Linked DNA regions of Tamandua tetradactyla. The protein of the gene in region 2 interacts with the protein of the main gene of each other region in a pairwise test. Links are inferred from orthologs where the notes say so. Each region holds a gene or a part of one and is shown on either strand. Other genes may lie near its edges.

Evidence for each region.
Region 1: the proteins of FAM118A (region 2) and ATOX1 interact in binary tests that used the Homo sapiens proteins (3 or more experiments, as listed by UniProt). The two-hybrid records come from large-scale screens. The link is inferred for Tamandua tetradactyla from reciprocal best matches to the Homo sapiens genes FAM118A and ATOX1.

The regions. Positions count from the first base shown.
Region 1 is NC_135346.1:32,593,017-32,602,880, forward strand, and holds the start of ATOX1 (copper transport protein ATOX1), read right to left. Parts: upstream 4,310-9,864; 5' UTR 4,150-4,309; coding exon 4,144-4,149; intron 1-4,143. UniProt on the Homo sapiens protein: Binds and deliver cytosolic copper to the copper ATPase proteins. May be important in cellular antioxidant defense.
Region 2 is NC_135333.1:39,587,803-39,597,870, reverse strand, and holds the start of FAM118A (protein FAM118A), read right to left. Parts: upstream 3,791-10,068; 5' UTR 3,601-3,790; intron 3,129-3,600; exon of another isoform or gene 2,927-3,128; intron 1-2,926.

The DNA.
Region 1 (9,864 bases), on a different chromosome or scaffold from region 2:
TTATTTTGGGAACTTAAGTATGTAAGTGCTTGCAACTAGCTACAGGTCAGAGCTTCATTTTCAGCAAAAATAAAATTAAATAAAGGGACTTTAAATGAGAAGTAAGATCTAGGTTGCCTTTCCTGAGATTGTTTTATAGTGAACACTAAATAACTGTCAGCCAGAGAACTGATATTCTAGAAGAGACATCAACAAAAGACTGCTTTAGAACCTAGATTGAAAGCACCTTATCAAGTCTTACTGACCACAACTATGGCAGTTAAACTACAGAGAATTTACCCCAGGGTCCACAGGACTCAACTTAAACATGCATCATGCCCTTGAGAAGCCACTCCCATTTCAGATCTCAAGTTAAAACTAACATGAGGATTCCACAAGCAGATGGCATCTGATGTACAGAGCTTTGGCCCAAAAGGTCAGAACAAGGAGATGATACTCAATATCACAAATCAAGACATGCCTGAATTTCCTTATTTTATTCTGTCTCTTCCTTTTCACCATCTGTCTATACTGTCTCTTATTCATCCTATATGCCTTACAATGTCCAATCTCCATCCCCAATAATCCCCACCCTTCACCATGATTTTCTTTTATTTCCTCTTTCTCCTATTTCTGCCCTATGGACAATTTCTGTCCATCTGGTATACCACACAACAAATGGAAACAATCAGAGTCACTGTTGGGTCTGTGCCTATCCCCCTCAGCGTCCCAAGACAGGTAGTCCTCTAATAACATCCTCCTTACACTTGTACACCTGGCCATGACAGAAAACTTCAGATACCCAATCAGACAGATCTCCTTTTTGGAATGGCTCTGGGCTGTGCGTTGAGAGCCCCAGAGACTGGAATTACAATGTGACCTCTCTAACCCAAGGAATGTGGTGTTTTTGCTAGAAACCAGACAGATAAAACTGGCCACCCATAGGGTATAGTAGGTGTTCAATTTCTATTTAAAAAAACTTCATCTGTAGTTTGTACTTATATATCTTTCAAAGCTTTAAGTATTTGCAAGATCAAAATAAAATCTAAATTTATAGAATGCCTACTATATGCCAAATGCTCTTTATACAGTAACTAAGTTAGTCCTCACTCAGCTTGGAGTGGGAGCTATTTTACCTAGGAGGAAAATGAGGTTCCCAGAGGCTAACTAAGCTGCCCACAGTCATATGTTAAGTATTGAGGATGTGATGTGAATCTAGGCCTTCCTCGATTCAGGGAAATCTTGCTGACTTTGGATCAGTAAACTGCACCACCACCTGCTGCCCCCCACAACCCTGACTCTTAGCAGGAGCTGAGAGTGGGAATACTTTCTCCAGGATATAGAAAACACATTTTTTTTTTGCTGCCCAAGATCCTGAAGTTAATAGCTAACTGAAGCTTTCTGCTGTTGACTATAAGCAATGGGTGTCATTTCATCCTCCACAGCAGAGGTCAGAAGCCAGGAGGTGGCTGCTGGAAGCAAACATAGTTCAGTACCCTCCTCCCCCACCTCTGAGTTGCAAAAACAAATCTGGGGGTGGTGGAGGATCTGCTTAATGGACAAAGTGATAATCCATTCTTTACAGGAAATTCCTCAGACCTCCTCCATCATTGGATGCTTGATTTTGGTCAGTTCTGGCCCCTCTGGGTCTGAGCTTCTCACCTAAACAATGAGTTCTTAAAAGTAGAAATCTGATTGTAAATTTTGACATACAATCATAAAAGTAGAAATCTGAGATGATGGAATGGTAGCTCATGACAAACTATGGGATCTGTTCTATAACTACATGTTGAAGCGTGCTTGAAAATTATTGCTTTTTTCTTTGCTTTGTATATATATTATACAATGAAAAGAGTTAAAAAAAAAAAAAGTAGATGAAAAAGTCCAGTAAGCCGTACAATTCTTTTAACAGAATTTCAACACTGGAAGGGCAGGGATAGAGCAGGGTCACTTTGGCCAGCCTCCTTCTAGTGAAGGCATTCTTAAATATCTGGGATATTCAGTCCTTGATACCCACCCCGGTTACTGGGAGTTTATTAGTACTAATATATTTGAATTCTTGCTATGTGCCAGGCATTTCTAAGCACTTATAGGCATTATCTTATTTAATCTTCACAAAGGGCGATATTATTATCCCTTCTTTACAGATGGGGGAACTGAGCTTGAGGTGAGGTCACTCACTTGGGTCATATAGCTAGAGAGTGGCATGACATGGGACTGGATGCAGACACTCTCCAAAGCCTAATCCTGAACCACTGCAGTCCTTGTTAATATTGTGTTCAAATCTGCATGCCTATAGTTCCACCCCTCTCTTCTGCCCTAGGTCTACCCTAGAACTACCATTTCTTGGGACCGGCTATGTCAGTGGCTATGCTATACATTTGACTATTGTTCTTCCAGTTAATATTAACAATAGTCTCGTGAGGTCAGATTTTTTGGGGGGGGGGGCGGGGCATGGGCAAGCTCTGGGAATTGAACCTAGGTCTCTGCCACAGCAGGTGAGAATTCTGCCACTGAGCCACTGGTGCACCACCCAAGGTCAGACTTTTATCCCCATTTTACAGATGAGTAAACCAAGGCACAGAGAAGTAAAGCAACTTGCTGAGGTCACCCAGCTGGCAGGTGTGGGCACAAATGTTCACAGAAGTTTCTGGGATCCCACAGCCTGTGTAAGTGCTTGTCTGAGAAATCTGAGGTGAGATACTCTTCCCCTTCTGATTTTGAAGGCAGTCTCTGGACTACTATCCTTTCTCCTTCAGCCATTCATCTCAAGAATGCCTTCTTGAGATGTCTTCGGTGTTAATGCCTTCCCCATCCCCATTATCCTCTCCAGAGTCTCTGGTTTGTCAAAATCCCCAGAAATGGGCAAAGAGTATTGTGATCCTCAGGCTGGCCTTTCCCTCACTACCATTCTCCACAAAAACCCTAGTGGCCTCTACAATCTGGTCCCAGGGTGATTAATGCTGTTTTCTAACATTGCCACAGTGGATTTGCTAAGCTGGGAGGGCAGATTCTGTCAGGCTCTTTGTCTATAGCTTGTGATGTCTGAGGATTTGTCTCAAGGAACCTGGCAAGACCCAAGGGAACTGACAACTGAGATGTTTGTGGCTCTGCCCAGGGGGGCGGTGGCTCACCTGTCAGCTCCCCAATGACAGGCTGCTAAGACACAGGGTGTCTGGGAACACTTCTGGGCACTCACTTGGAGTAGAGCCAGGAACTAGACACCGTGGAGGGAAAATGCTAAACACCACCTGACCCCAACCAGGATCTCAGAGAGGCAACTGGAATTGGAGCTTTCTCCCAAGCAGGTGTGACTGCTTTTGCAGGTTGCTTCCCTGTGTGATTAGGCCAGGAAGGACTGGAAGCTGGAGGATAAGGGGCTTAATTTTGGTTCCACCCATCTCTCAACACAATTTTGAATAAATTACTGGGCTTTTAATTTTTTTTATCTGCAAAAGACTTTAATTTGTTATCTACAAAATGAGGCCATGACCAAAGATGTATGTGCAATAAGGCTGAGTGAGCTGCAAAGGCAGGCTAAGACCTGCTCATTCCTCCCCAAACTCTGTCACTGAGTAACTGATGACTTTGAGCAGGACTCTGAACCTCTCTGGAGCTCATGGATTCAGGTTCAGAAACTGACCAGTTGAAAAAGGTCAAAAGTACTGGCGCCATTCAAGTTCGTCCAACACCGACCTGAAAATCTGCCAGAGTGGGCAGGGAAGTGAAGAAAAATATGGATCTCTGAAAACCTGCCCAGTCAGGGTGGCAAGAGTCGGGCTCATAACTTGCTCATAACCACCCCACATTCTTCTTTAAGGTCAGCTCCCGGGAAAGGGGCATCCAGGAGGAAGGTGCAGAACTAAGGTTTCCCATTCCAGCTTGCCACCAATTCTCTGTGTAACCTCGGATGTCTGCCTCCTTTTTGGATCTTAGTTTCCCAGTACATGCAAGGAGGGTTTGGGCTCGTGATCGTTGGAGGCGTTGTAACTCCAGCATTCTGAAGCCTGGCTCCTTGAATCACTTCCTCTCGGTTCCGATTTTCTGGAGGGTCCTAGAAGCTGGGGGGGGGGGGGTAGCAACCCCTGGTCAAGCAGCAGTGCAGCCAAGGCGCGACCCAGGGGCCCCAGGTTTGGGCAGGGCCGGGACGACGCGGCCACTTACCGGCATAATGGATGGCGGGAGCAGGGGTGAAGGGGTTGGCGGTGCAGCCTCCCGGACGCTAGGCAAGTTCGCTGGGGCAGCGCTTCCGGGTGAGCGCGCCGGGAGGAGACGGGCCACTCGGCCAAGCCCCGCCCTCTCCGGGGTCGAACCGCCGCCAGGCCCCGCCCTTTCCGCCGCTGCGCTGGCACCTCCTAGTCGGTGGGCAGATACCGGACCACTACCGGTAGATTCCCGCCAAGTGAATCCCCATTGGCGCTTGGCCATTTTTAGAACGCCTGCTCCATGTCAGGCCTTGTAGTAGGGACTGGGAATACAAGGGCACCAATAGTCAACAGAACAGATTCCATCCCTCGTAAATACATGCACAATACACGGTCTCATTTTTTCGTGATACACAATCTCATTTACTCAGTCAATATTTATGGAGTACTAACCGTGGGCTAGCACTGTGTTAGGCATCCCAAGGTGCTGTAGTGGAAAACGACGTACCTTCGAAGGGAGCGAAAGAAGCAATGAATAATGCAGCCATAAAGGAGCTATGAAGGGTTGTCATGGGAGTTTAGACAAAAGGTTCCTAATTCAGACTGGAGTGCGGGAAGGGAGAGGCGGAGGCTTCTGGAGGATGTAATATCTGAGTTAAAGAGGAAGAATCAAATTCACCTGATGAGGAAGATGAGCTCATTAGGGGAAAGGGAGGTATGGGGAACAGTGTTTTGGGCCCAGGGAACAGCATGAATTAAAAACTGGAAGGCAAAAGTGAGCAGATTTGAGAGACAGAGATATTAAGCCTGAGAGGTAGGCTCACACAGATAAACTATTTGACAAGACTAAAGAGATCCACAGCTATGTGTGGAGACATAGAGGCAGACATGCTCTAGGAAACTTACAGAGAAACAGACATGTGAAAACCTGAAACTTCACACACACATACCCAATACACAGAGAACCAAGGTGACTCTCTCCTTGGAAATATCCAAGGACCCTCCCAGGGGTGGGGGTGCTCTGTCTAAATAGTTTCTCAAAGGTCTTTCATCAAGAATGGCTTAGAAAGCCTGATAAATATTCAGATTTCTAGGCCTCTCCCCAGATACACAGCTGCCTTTTGTGTGTGTGTGTGTGTGTGTGTGTGTGTGCATCAAAGGACTTTTCAATGTGAAAAAATTAGAATGGGCATAGCCCAAATATCACTAAGGATTGGGAGAAGGATCAAAGGAGAAGGAGTTATAAAAGAGACATTACTTTTAATAAATTAGAAAGTAAAAAAGACAACCTACAGAATGGGGGTAATATTTGGAAAACATATATCTGATAAGGGCTTTTTAACTTTTTTTGATAAGAGCTTTTTAAAACATTTTTTACTATGAGATGTAACATAGATACAAAAAAAAGAATACATTTTAAATTACATTTTAACAAGTAGTTATAGAACAGAATTCAACGTTGGGTATGGGTTACAGTTCCACAATTTCAGGTTTTTCCTTCTAGCTGCTCCAAGACACTGGAGACTAAATGGCAATATCAATATAATGATTCAATAGTCATACTCATTAGTTAAATCCTAACGTTTCTTTTATAACTCCTTCTCCTTTGATCCTTCTCCCAGTCCTTAGGGATATTTGGGCTATACCCATTCTAATTTTTTCACATTGAAAAGCGGCGTCAATCATACAGGATACGGGGACAGAACTGGTTGATGATTTTGCAGAGACTGGGGGTTTCAGGACTTATCTGGCCTGGGAACCATCTGAAGTTTTAGGTTTCTGAGAAGTAAACTTGGTGTGTGAAACTTTTGTAGAATCTAAGATACAGCCTGGGTGCTCTTTAGGGTTAATGAGAGTAATGTTAATTAGGATTTGGCAAACCCTGGCAATTAGCAATATCTAGCTTAAGTTTGTGTAAGGGTAGCCTCCAGAATAGCCTCTCCACTCCATTTGAACTCTCTTAGCCACTGACACCTTATTTTGTTACCTTTCTTCCTGCCTCATTTTGAGGAACACTTTTAGTCCTCCTTCCTCTTGTTTCGAAAGCCCCTACTAGAGGAAAATTATAGTATAACACAGGGAAGTTTTTTGAGGGAGTGTGCTGGTTATTAATTTATTGCTGCTCAGCTCCAGATTCATCCTTTTTGCCTGCACTGTGAAAATGGATCTGGGCCCTTTAAATTTATTTTGTCCTTTACAGCTGGTGAGATGTTTAACTTTTTCGGTTGAAGGTTCTGGAGAGACACTGACTGAAGAAAAAGTTTTCCTTCCTGTTTCCGCTGGGCTGATTCACCAGGGTCCTGCAGTATGTGTGGCTCTCCCAGCTCCTGTGGATGGCTTCTTCGGGACCAGGCCCCTGCTTTTAGCCTAGGGACCAGCAACACCTGGCTAGCAGTGCCCCACTTACCCCACCTCAAACCCTGGTAGAAGTGGTTTTGAGCAGAGTTTCTCCAGTAAACAGCTCTGTGTAAACAGTTTTCTTCAGCACTTTAGAGAATGGATTTCTAGCCAGTTCCACCAGTGCGGCCCCAGGGTGTGGGCCACAGCTATGCCATCTCGAACAAGGTGTTCATCTCAGGCTGAGGGTGGGGCAGGAAGGGAGGCGCTCATCGGGTGTTCTCTTTCAGCCCTCTGGTTAGTGGCTGCTCCTTATATCTGCTATTCCTGTATTCTTTAGAGCTCTCTTTACTTCTTATTAGCCAATCCCTCATTACCATGGCATCTTGTTATAATAATTCTTTAAATTTTCCTTGTGCAAATTACCATGTGGTTTTTCTCTCCTGATTAGACCCAGATAGACGGAGGGATTAACAAAAAGCTACTAACTTTGGTTTAGGGAAGAGGATAATGGTTCCTAAATTCAAGGAACACAAAATCAAAGGAACAAGTCTAGGCCAGGGGCTAGTTTGAATCTTACCCTTATCATTTACCAGGTGTGTTACTTCAACCCTTTAAGTCTCAATATGCTCCCTTATTAAAGGGGATAGTTAAGGTGACTTACAATTTTTTATGTAAACCTTTTTTTTTTTTTGAGACTGAAAAAGGATGTCATTAATAATTATGCCAGGACCATGGGCATATAACTATGACTGCTCCAGGTAAATCAGGACATATGGTTCCTCCAAAGAGACCTACTTTGTAGCATCATTGGGAGGAATAAATATGATAATTTATGCAAACTGCCTTGTGCATTGGTTGGCACATGGTAGACATTAAAGAATATTACAACTCTTCTACAAAAGAGTTCTAATTGCTAGAGCCCCTGCTGGCAACTTGGCAGGCAGTCTTCCCCTACTGGCAAAAATGCTCACCTGTTAATCCACTGCGCCGTCCCCACCATTTGCCATTTCCTAAAGCCAAAAATTCTTTTTCCCTACACTCTCTAAATAGGTGGCAGACTACCCATTCTACATCTGTTCTCCTGTAGGAAACATGTAGGTGTGGGAAGGTGATCATCATTTTACTCCACATGGAGAGATTTTGTTTGGGTGGGAGGAAGGGAGAAAGAAGGGAGGAAAGAGGGTGCTATAGGGCTGGTAACCTCAGGTCTCAGAAGGCACGGCTGAGAACTTTGGCAACACTGGGGGACAGTTGTGCACTGAGGCTGGGGATAACGACATCCCTGTGGGGGTCAGGGGGTTAGGGAGAGTAAATCCTTCACAAAGCCAAAAGCAACAGTGACAAGGCAAGCCAATCAAGGCAAAGGAAGAGTGGGTGGCTCAGAAAATGGGCAATGGGGAGTTAAGCAGGGAGAAAACAATTTAATAAAGCAGCAGCATCATGGAAACCCATTATAGGTGGCAAATGAAGGCCTATCAAAGGGGAGAGGAAAATGCACAGGATTGTAGTCCTATATAATTATACACATAAAATCCATTTATTTATAATAAAAATAGACTAAAGATATACTATAGCAATTTCTACTAGAGGTTATTTTGGACAGGTACAGGATCAGAGGCAAAATTCCAATGTACATGTTGTGTTTAAAAATTTTCAAATAGCACAAAAGGGTATACACTGAAAAATAGGTCTCCCTCTGTGGTGGTTTATGTTTCAACTTGGCCAGATAATGGTGCCCAGTTGTCTGGTGAAGCACTGGCCTAAGCATTACTGCAAGGACATTTTGTGGACTTAAATCATCAGTAAGGGGTGGGCCATGGTGGCTCAGCAGGCAGAATCCTCACCTGCCATGCTGGAGACCCGGGTTCGATTCCCGGTGCCTGCTCATGCGAAAAAAAAAAAAAATCATCAGTAAGTTGATTGCATCTATGACTGATTACATCTAAATTAACGAGAGTATCTTCAGCAATGAGAGAGATTTAATTGAATCAGATGAAGGCTTTAAAAGGAGAAGTCAGAAGAGAGAATCTCTCACTGCACTTCAATGAACCAGCCTCTCCTGGGGAATTCATCAAAGACCTTCATCAGAGCTGCCAGCTTGCAGCCTGCAGTCATAATTTGGACTTGTGTATCCCCACGGTTGCATGAGACCCTTTTATAAAATCTCATATTTACAGATATCTCCTGTTGGTTCTGTTTCCCTAGATAACCCTAATACACCCTCCTACCCCGATTCCCCCTTTCATAAACAAAATGCATATAACATATGTTTTGCACTCTGATTTTCTTATTTTACAATTAATTTCCTTCTTTCTTTTTGGTGCCATGTAATGTTCCATTATTCAGTAATCTTAATTTATTTTGCCACTCCTTATGGCAGAGACCATTTGTTGGCTAATCCAACAACTGTTCCCGATCTTTTACTCTTGCTACTATTGATGCTGAAATATCTAAATATGCTTTTCCAGCCTCCCTTGCAGCCAGGTATGCCATTTGATAGGGCTGTAGTCAATGAGACAAAAGTAGAAGTCTTCTAGGAGGCTCCTGGGAAAGCTCCGGCATTCCTCACCAAGGGAACAAATACCACTCCTTTCTCCCTTTCTGCTTAGAACACTCTAGAATAGTGTCCACCATCTTGCAATTAAGAGAATCACAGAGATGCTAGTCCTGACATTGTGGGTACTGGACCAATGCCAGCTGCAGCTTATTTCTAGGCTTGTTACATATAGAAAGATATTTTGTAATTTGATGGTTGAAAAATTAACTTCTTTTCACTTTGGTTTCTCCATCTGTTGAAATTAACTGTTGTGAGGATTCATATATTATTCTTGGTCCTTTCTTCCTTTTTGAATTTAGAGTGGTATAAACTTTATTATTATTATTTTTTAGGTGCATGGTCTGGAACTTGAACCCAGGTCTCCCGCATGGAAGACGAGCATCCTACCACTGGACCACCATGTACCCCAGTATAAACTTGATTTTGAATACTAATACTAATTCTGCCATAGTTGGTAGATCTGTAAAACAGAGTTAATATTTCATAGAATTTTGGGGAGGATGAATTGAAAAAAAAATGTGCCTAGCACCATGGTGCTTGAAACATATTATTAATATGATTGTTATTTGGTCTTCTAAACCACAGAAGGTGGGGCCTTCTAGATTCATAGGTAGTATCAGAGTGTGCTGGAAAAAGCCTTTTGCAGAGCTTTGGCTGTAGATTACCAGGATTTGCCATGGGCTCCAAAATCCTCAAACCACTTCGAAATTTCTGTATGCAGCATTACCGAGTGCTACACATGAAAGGATAAAGAGCACATAGCAGTCTTTCAGAAGTTTTTGAGGAGACCATGCCCCTTTCTCTACTATCCTCCTTCCCTGAATAGGATGATTGAGGAGCGGG
Region 2 (10,068 bases):
CCTGAGAGGAACAGGAGAAATTCCAGGAAGCAACCCATGAGGAAACTTACAATCACAGAATTTTAGATCTGAAAGGATCTTGAGGTTATACAGTGCCAAATACCCTAATTTGGTAGAAGTGGAAACTGAGACCCTAGGAGGCAACGTGACTTAGTCTAGGCTCCCCAAGGGCTAGGAGTGAGCTATAAACTAACTCCAGGCTCGTGCCCCACCCTCCACCACACCAGTCACTACCTGGCAAGTGGGAGTTCAAAATTCAGCTTAGACACTCGTTTACATCTCTTTGGCTGACCTGCAGGTCCACCTTCTCTCTTACCCAACTAGTTCTCCAAAACTGCAAAGAGAAATGGCCACCTTTAGGAAGCCTAAAGGCAGGAAGAAGCCTCAGGCCAAATGACCAGCGCAAAACAGTTTTCTTTTTGGTCTGTGCTTGCTTATCACACAACTGTCCCAGTTAACTTTACAGGGAGCAGATAAGGCAGGCCTTGCAGGGGAAACATCACCACCACCCAGATGGCCCCTGGCTCCTGGGGAAAGGAACACAGATATAGTGAAATGAGCAGCCTGAGAAGCTAAACCGACTGGGCACAAGTCTGTGTTCACCACTTAAAACCTGGGCACATAATTTACTCTTTCTGAGCCTCCACTGCCTTTACCTGTAAGATAAGAACAATGCCTTCCGATATAACTTTTACAACATGACTGCATGATTGTGAAAACCTTGTGTCTGTTGCTCCTTTTATGAGTAAAAAAAATGGATAAAATATAACCAAATAATAGAGGGGACAAAGGGTAAAATAAAGTGGGTAGACAAAGATACTAGTAGTCAATGAGGGGGCAGGGTAAGGGTTACGATATGTATGAGTTTTTTCTTTTTACTTCTTTTTCTGGAGTGATGTAAATGTTCTAAAAAATGATCATGGTGATGAATACACAACTATGTGATGATATTGCGAGCCACTGATTATACACCATGTATGGAATGTTCGTGTGTGAAGATTTATCAATAAGAATATTTTAAAAAGAACAATACTTTCACCTCCCAGGGTTGCTGGAAGTGTTCAGATGGGGTAACATTTAAGTACAAGCCTGGACCCGCAAGGGCATGTCCTAACTGGATTTCATTCATTAAAATTAAATAAAATTTAAAATTCAGTTCTTAGTAACACTAGTCAGGTTCTCAGTGTTCAAAGTCCCTGTGGTGGGGTGGTGAGGCAGTCACAAAACATGTTCAGCATCACAGAAAGCTGTACTGCACAGCGCTACGCTAGAGTCTCTTCTCCCTCACCCAAACAGAAATCCTGTAGATTTTCCTTCCAAATGTCTTCTGATCCACACTCTCTGCCACTGCCTTAAAGCCCTCACAGCTTCTTGTCTGGCCTCCTAAAACCCACTGCCTTCAGTTTCAGCCCCTCTAATCCCACACGGTCTCCAGAGTGATATTTCTAATGCAGCACATCTAAACTTGTCTCTCCTCAGCTTCAGCAGCTTTCCCTTTCCTGCAGGATACTGGCATCCAGCATCCAAACCCTTCCTGATCAGGTCACATCACTGGGAACCAGCCTCTGTTCACCGCACCCAGCTGTGCTGCATGTGCATCTCCTGTGGGATGTCTGGCTCCCTGTGACACAGACACTCAGCTGATAAGGCACAAAGGCTCTGAGCCCCGAGGTGAGAAATACAAAGACCTCGCCTAAAAGGAAGTACAAAGTACCTACGTCAATTTCCAGGCAGGAAACTGTAGGCTCAGACAGGAATGAGCACGTCTTTTGGGTCTGGACTGTAAGCTTAGCTATGCTTGTGGAAGTCATGGTCCCCACTGCCACCACCTGGGCCAGGTTCCCTACACTATTCACATGTGGCCCTGCTTCCCCCAAATAGTGAGAGCACTTCTTCAAACACACACACCACTCCTACTCATAGTTATACCTTTTAATGGCCTCCCACTCCCTTCTTCAAATCAATCCTCTACGTGGCTTCAGAAGCTCATATAATTCGGTTCCATCTGGTGGGTCCAGCCTCTGTGCTGGGCACACCCCTTTCGGATCCAACACTCGGCCCAATTTCCCAGATTCTCCCATTCTAGTCTACTCATTTCCTCGCTCCTTTCCACTGACCCACCATCTTCTTTCAGTCTCAGCTGGGATCTTCAGTGACTTGGGGCATAGGAGTAAAAGTGGTAACTCTAGAAAGCACCAACGGCACGGGGTGGGGGTGGGGGCTTCAGGAAACAATTCCCTCTCATACCAGCCTTAGAAAGTTGGGTTTGATCTTCATCAGGGAAACAACACATCTCCAGCCATCCCCCAGGATTTCTCTATGCTCCAGCCACATTTTTCCCAATTCCAAAACCTGATGGGCTTTGGCATGCCTCTCTGCCTTTGCCTGAGGTGGCCCTGGCAAACTTGTCCTCAAGCTCTACCTCCAATAGTCAGTTTTCCTGTTACCTATTATCTCTTTCCCTCCTAGAAAGCCTTCCTAACACGACCCCTTCCTGAGAATCCCACCCCCCACCCTGCTGGCTTTAATGCCACTATATTGTTATTGCCTTACAAACCACCTCTTGTCCAACCTACTCGCCCCACTCCCCTCCAACTAAGCCCAGAGAGCAGGGACTATGCCATCTCCATCTTCAGTGCTAATTCCTGGAGCCAACTGGTGTTCAGAAAAACGTTGGCTCTAAGAACGACAACCTCAAGACCTGCATGGACACAACCTGAAAGCATCCTGGTTTGCCCTGACCCCTTCAGCAACTTGGTTCTGCCTCCCACTACCACATCCAAATCTCCTGTCCTCTCCCTCTAGACTGCTCTCTGTCACCATATGAGTCTAACCAAAGAGCAGTAAAAGTTACACACTGTCCCTACTCTGGTTTCAATAGTATGGACACATGTAAATACACAGACACTGAAATCACAGCCAGTACCTGTTAGAAGAACGTGGACATCCGGGTGACCTGTTATATGCTTGCACTTCTTTTATATTATCGCTAAGGATTCACAAACCCAGGGAACTCCCTGGACACCGCACAGGTCCAGCGACCTCAAGTGTGAGAACCCTTGCCCTAGAGTTGGGCGCGGAGGGGAAGCCAAGGCAGACTGCTAAGCCTCAGGGTCGGTGGTCGACAGCTGCGGGCCAACAAGTCCAAAGGTTGGTGAAGGCGCTCCAGGGACTTCCCAGGGGCAAGGAGAGAAGGGGCCGGGGTCCTCCTCCGGGAAGGGGGTGGAGTCTCCGGGGCCAGGGTCCCTGCAGGGTGGGGGTCAGGAAGGGGGTCTGCGGGTAGGGCATCCTGGGGGGAGGAAGTAGTCCCATGGAAAAGGGGATTATGAGGGCTCGGGACCGGGTGGGGTAAAATCTTCAGCGGTCTCAGGGCTCGGGGGTCCTCAGTGAATCTTGTCGGGGTCTCGGGGCCCTGAGGCGGCTGGACGTCCTCAGGGAGTCTACGAGTCTAGGGACAATCGTGGAGGGTTTCGGGGTCCGAGGGTCCTGAAGGCTGTCAGGACTCCAAAGCGGTGGGGACCCAAGAAGGGTCTTGGGAGAGGAAGGGTCCTGAGGGCTCTCGGCCAGGAACCCCGGCCTCCCCCGACCCGGGCCCCTTACCTGCGGCGAATCCAAGTCGCTGGTCTCTGCTCGCACGCCCGCCTCCCCTCCTCGGCGGCTGACGACGTCTGCGCGCGCACCAGCGGCGAGAGCGGGAGGCGCAGCCCGAGCCCGACTGGTACCGCGTTCAGCCTCGCCTCCACGTTTGCCCGCCGCGGCGCCGCCGCAAAGCCTTCCTCCGGGGGCTCTCGGTCGCCGCGCGAAAGTTCCGCCTGGAAACCAACGGCTTATCGTGGTCCCGGGCCCCTCGCCCCGCCTCTCTGAGGAGGGGGCGGGGCCTGAGGCCACCTGCGCTCGTTCCTGCGTCTCTCTTTTGCATGTGCAAAAGGCGGGGGGGGGGCGGGCGCGCTCTGCCGGGCCCTGCTCAGCGTTGAGCAGGATCGAGGGCCCTGGCAGCTGCGGCCCGCAGATCACGCAGGCTCCGGCGGGCCACGGGTCCCTGCTTGCCGAAGCCGCCGGTAGCTCAGTGGCCATTGTCGCTATCCGGAATTCCGTCCCTTGATCACTGTCACTTCCCACTGGAACGGAGGCTCCTTGAGGCCCGAACATTGTCTGCGTTGTTCACCCCTGGACCCCCAGAGCTGGCACAGCCCTGGGCACACGATCGATGCCCAAATGCTTGGGCATGAGTAATCTTTCTTGTGCTATTCTTTCATCAAGAAATACGTTTTCAACCCACAGAACAGGAGAAAATACTTGGGAACCATATATCTGATAAGGGCTTAATATCCAGAGTATATAAAGAACTCCTACAACTCAACAACAAAAATACAAACAATTCAGTTTAACAATGGGAATAGAACTTAAGTAGACATTTCTGCACAGAAGACATACAAATGGCTGTAAGCACAGGAAAAGATGCCCAATATCATCAGCCATTAGAGAAATGCAAATCAAAGCCAGAATGAGATACAACTTCGCACCCACTTCAATGGCTATTATTTTGAAAACAGAAAATAGCAAGCATTGGAGAGGATGTAGAAAAATAGAAATGCTTGTGCTCATGGACATGTAAAATCGTGGAAAACAATTTTGCACTTCCTCAGAAAGTTGAGTATAGAATTGCCATAGGATCCAGCAATCCCACTTCTAGTTGCATATCCAGAAAAATTGAAAGGAGGGACTTGAGCAGAAATTTTCCCACCAATCTTCACAGGGCATTATTCACAATTGTGAAAAGCTCAAAGAAACCCAAGTATCTATCAACCAATGAAAGCAAAAGCAAAATGTGGTATAGCCATACAATGGAATATTATTCAGGCATAAAAAAGGAATGGAATTCTGAAACATGTGGGTGGTAGTTAGATTCAGTTGTCAACTTGACCAGGTGAAGGCACCTAGTTCTGTTGCTGTGGACATGAGCCAATGGTACATGAACCTCATCTGTTGCTGATTGTATCTGCAGTTGGCTAGGAGGCGTGCCTGCTGCAATGAATGATGGTTTGACTTAATTGGCTGGTGCTTAAATGAGAGAGCACAATGTAGCACAGGCCAAGCAGTTCAGCATACCTCATCTCAGCACGCGCAGCTCAGCCCAGGCCTTTGGAGATGTGAAAGAAATTACCCCGGGAAAAGTTGTTGGAACTCAGAGGCCTGGAGAGAAGGCCAGCAGAGATCAGTTTGTGCCTTCCTGTATAACAAAGAACCTCAGTTGAAAGTTAGCTGCCTTTCCTCTGAAGAACTAATGAAATAAATCCCCTTTTATTAAAAGCCAATCTGTCTCTGGTGTGTTGCATTCCGGCAGCTAGCAAACTGGAACAATGTGACAACATGGATGAACATTGAAGACATTACATTGAGTGAAATAAAGCCAGATGCGAAAGGACAGATATTGTATTATCTCATTTATATGAAATAACTAAAATAGACAAATACATAAAGTTAGAAAGTAGATTACAGGTTATGAGGGGTGAGGGTTAATGCTTCATGGGTCCAGAATTTCTATTTGGGGTGATGGAAACATTTTGGTGATAGATGATCGTGAGGATAGCACAACATCATGAATGGAAATTAATGCCAACACATCGTATGCTGGTAGTTGGATTGTAAAATGAGAAAGGTTATGTTGTGTATATATATAAAACCTCAATAAAAAAGAAAAGGAAAGAAATACACTTCCCAGGAGGCTGAGCAGGACACTTGCTTGGGTCTGGAGCCTGGTCTACCACCTGAGGGCTGTGTCTTCTCATCCATCTGCACCCCAGTTTCTGCCTGTAAAACCATGGTGCTAGCAGTACCTGCCTCTCGGGGTGATTGAGAGGACTAAGTAAGGTCACACATGGGCAGGCTTGGCAGAGGAGCATGCACAGGATTAGTGTCCCCTGCTATTCTTATGACTCGTATGTCCCCCTATCCAAGTCCTTCTCTGCCACTGGAAGTCTTTCTCTTCTCTGAATAAGAACCGATGGGCTCAGAAGCTACTTCCCCTTCCCGTCCTTCCCAGATCCACACACCCACCCACACCCTGGCCAAGCCACATTTAATTCTTACTTCCTCTCTCTGTATATTTTTTCCTGTCTAGTGTTCAAGTTGGCTGTTAACATCCCCCGGCCCACAGAGAAAGCCTGAACTTGTCATCCACATGGGTCTTCTGAGTTTTAGCAGCTTGTGAAGTTTGGGGGCCCAGAGTCCATAACACCAAGTGGTGAGGCAGCTGTGGGTTTCTGTGCATGGCAGCGCCTGCCAAAGCGCTTTGCATGTGCTCCTTCATCTGCATCTTGGAACAAGCCTGTGAGGGCACCACCCTCGTTCTCATTCCAGTTGAACAGACAGGGATGCTGAAGCCCCTTGAGGTTGCCCAGGCATCTGCGCACCCCATCTCCCGCATGTGTCACCATCCTCTCTCCATTCAGCTCCTCCTCCATGGTCACAGGATGGAACACAGTGCAGGGCAGCTCATGAGCTACTTCCGGGTGCAGGGGACCAGGACCTGAGAGAGGTGGCATGGGCTTGAGAACCGGACTCTGGGCTGAGTGCTGGCGGAGGCCAGACCCTGGGTGTAGGCGGCCCTGGGGCAGACATCCTTGAAGTTCCTGGGGTGGTGGAATCCAAGAAATCTATGCACAGGGTAGGCTATGCCTGAAACCCTCCAGCCAAGTCGGCCCCATCCAAAACACAGCCTGCAGGTCTCAGCCCCTGCACCCCAAATCACTGCCTTGCAAAGACAAGGCCAGCAGGAGGGGATGCCTTAGGAACAAACTCCCCTAACCCTTCCCCTCCCCTGTACTCAAGAGAGATGTAGGTGCCCTGGGTCCTGGAAAAGGACTGAGTGGGGCACTGCTACCAAGCCACCTTGACCATCCCCAGAGTAGATAAGGGATGGGCAGGGCTAGTTGGCAAGGTGTCATGGGAAGCAGAGGCGCCTATCCCGCCCATCCAGGTAAGCATGTCTTATTCAGTGTGCAATGGGCAAAGGATTGACTGTATGCATGTGACATGGCAAGGCTTGGCACCTCAAATACAGGGCCCAGATGCGAGTCCTCTCTGTGTTGCAGGTGGCCGTGATGGCATCAATGGGGGCTGCCCTGAGAGATGTGCAAATGGAAGTCATATGTGTGCTTGTATGTGTATACTACTATTTTTTAATTTCAGATTTCTGACCTCCAGAACTGTGAGAGGATACATTTTTGTTGTTTTAAGCCCCCCTGTCTGTAGTAATTTGTTATAGCAGCCACAGAACACTAATAGAGTTGCTATTTTAGAAATGAGGAAACTGAGACTCCAAGAGGCCAGGGAATTTGCCTGCGGTCCCTTGGCCAGTAGGTAGGTCAGTCAGACCTGTCTGCCTCTTTAGCTTCAGAAAGCCTGCCTGCTTTGCCCAATGCAGAGTCTTCCAGGAAGTAGAGAGGGTGCTAATACTCTCTGGGGCAATTAGAAAGTGCCACCCCAGAAGCTGAGTCCAGACCCAGCAAATGGGTAGAATGATTATTCATTTGTTCACTTACTCTTGGGTCCCCAAGAAGGTTTGCTCATCTTCCTTAGATCAGTTTGGTCCCTTTAGCTTTTGTATCAGGAGCTGTGATTAAGGCCTCTTATAAGCTGGAAGCTCCAATCTCCTGGGACCTCCATGAATCATGCTGCTGGAAAGAGGGCTGGACTCTACTTCTTTCACCTATGACACCAAATGTGGGAAGCAGCTTGTATAGGAAGGGGGCTCAAGCCACCTGTAAGACCTGCTTTTCAAAGGGGGGGTGGGAAGTATCCAAGCCTACAGAATGAGCATGCATGTGATTTTCTGTAGTGTTCAGAAAGTTTGATTATCTTAATAACGTTTTGCAAGTTGGTTTCCTTCCTTTGTCTAAAGATTTGAATTTACTTGGGTTTGCATTAAAGGTCCCATTTTGCAGTTGGTTTGTCAGTAATTCCCCATTAAAGCAAAGCCTGGATCCCATATAGGGGATGTAATTCTACTTAAGGGTCTTTTAAAAGCTGGGCAGGAGTGCATGGGTATTTCGGCAGCAGAGCGCCCGCCCACCATGCGGGTGACCCGGGCATAAGTCCTGGTCCATGCACCCAAAAAGAAAAAAAAAACCTCAGCAATAGTAGTCCCTGAATCTAGAAGGAGACACCCCAAGATATACTGGGTATGAACTCAGATGTATGCCCACAGAAAAGAAAGAAAACAAATAAATAATGAAATAGAAATAAAAATAATTTTAAGAAATAAAATAAAATAAAAATTAAATAAAAAGACAAACCTAGGCAGATAGGGAGTTTGCCAGACTGCACTGACTACTTCTTCCTAGAAGATGGTGCTCTTGAGCCACGTCCTCCTCCTCCCCTCAGGCTCACCTGGAATGGCCAGCTGGGCAGGATGGCATGCACGGCAGGACAGCTGGTCCCAGCACTGGGGACAGGGCAGTTGATCACAACATCTGGCAGATCTGCCGCCTGTAGCTCCTGACAGGATGGCCACTCCTGTGGGTGGCTGGCATGCCCCTGGGCTCCCTACAGGTACAGCCAGCTTCAAGGTTACGCAGGGAGTTCTCCCCAGCCAGCTGCTGGCACAGGCTAGATTGGAGATTGGTATCCTATAGGGAGGGACAGTCTTTTTCCTTGGATCTGCACTTCCCCATGTGCTGCCACCTGCCCCTGGTGGGGTCACAAACTAACAGATTCGCCTTGTTCTCCCCATCCCGACCCCCTTTCCTCTCTCTACCAGGACCTCCCTATAGAATGCTGAAGACCCTCCTTGATCAGTCACCCCCTGGGTTGCAGTCCCTGTCGTCTTTTCCTTCCCTTCTCTTGTTTTCCCACGGAGCAGGAGTGAAATCAGCCTACCCTACTCTGCCATCTTCCTGCATCTTGCATGAGTTTTTAACAATGGCAGACCTTGCAGAGGTTGTGCCCTCTCTGCTTCCCTTGGGGATTGTGCTGGTTTGAAAGGATGTATGTCCCCTTGAAAAGCCATGTTTTAATCCTAATCCCATTTTGTAAAGGCAGCCATTTCTTCTAATCCCTATTCAGTATTGTATGTTTGAAACTGTAATCAGATCATCTCCCTGGAGATGAGATTTAATCAAGAGTGGTTGTTAAACTGGATTAGGTAGAGGCATGTCTCCACCCATTTGGGTGGATCTTGATTAGTTTCTGAAGTTCTATAAAAGAGGAAACATTTTGGAGAATGGGAGATTCAGAGAGAGCAAAGCAGAGCGACATAGCCACAAGAAGCAGAGTCCACCAGCCAGCAACCTTTGGAGATGAAGAAGGAAAATGCCTCCCAGGGAGCTTCATGAAGAAGCCATGAGAAGAAGCTAGCAGATGACACTGTGTTTGCCATGTGCCCTTCCAGATGAGAAAGGAACCCTGTCCGTGTTCACCATGTGCCCTTCCAGATGAGGAAGAAACTCTGACTGTGTTTGCCCTGTGCCCTTCCACTTGAGAGAGAAACCCTGAACTTCATTGGCCTTCTTGAACCAAGGTATCTTTCCCTGGATGCCTTAGTTGGACATTTCTATTGACTTGTTTTAATTGGGACATTTTCTCGGCCTTAGAACTGTAAACTAGCAACTTATTAAATTCCCCTTTTAAAAAGCCATTCTGTTCCTGGTATATTGCATTCTGGCAACTAGCAAACTAGAACAGGGATACTTAGGGGAAGTGATCGAGGTCAGCTTTAAAGAAAGCAAAGTTCTGGTGAGAATGCACAGGGAGGGAAAGCAGCGGGAAGTCCCTCATGGGGCTGAAAAGAGGGTCTGGGGGATTGGGGAGGTGGTCCAGGGCACACACAGTCCTAGTTGTATCTAGGAGGCAGCACCCACCACTCTCCCCTCCTACCTGCACTACCCAGGCTTCAGCTGACCCTGCCTTAGGCATCCCCTTCTCTGGCTTCTGCTTCCCGACTTTTCTGCTTCTGACTCCTCTGATGACAGTTGCTTTGGATCTCCAATGTGTGCCCTGGAGCAAAGATCTGGTCTGCTCTGCGCACGCCACCAGCCTGCCAGGCTTCTTCCTTGTGGCAGTTGAGTA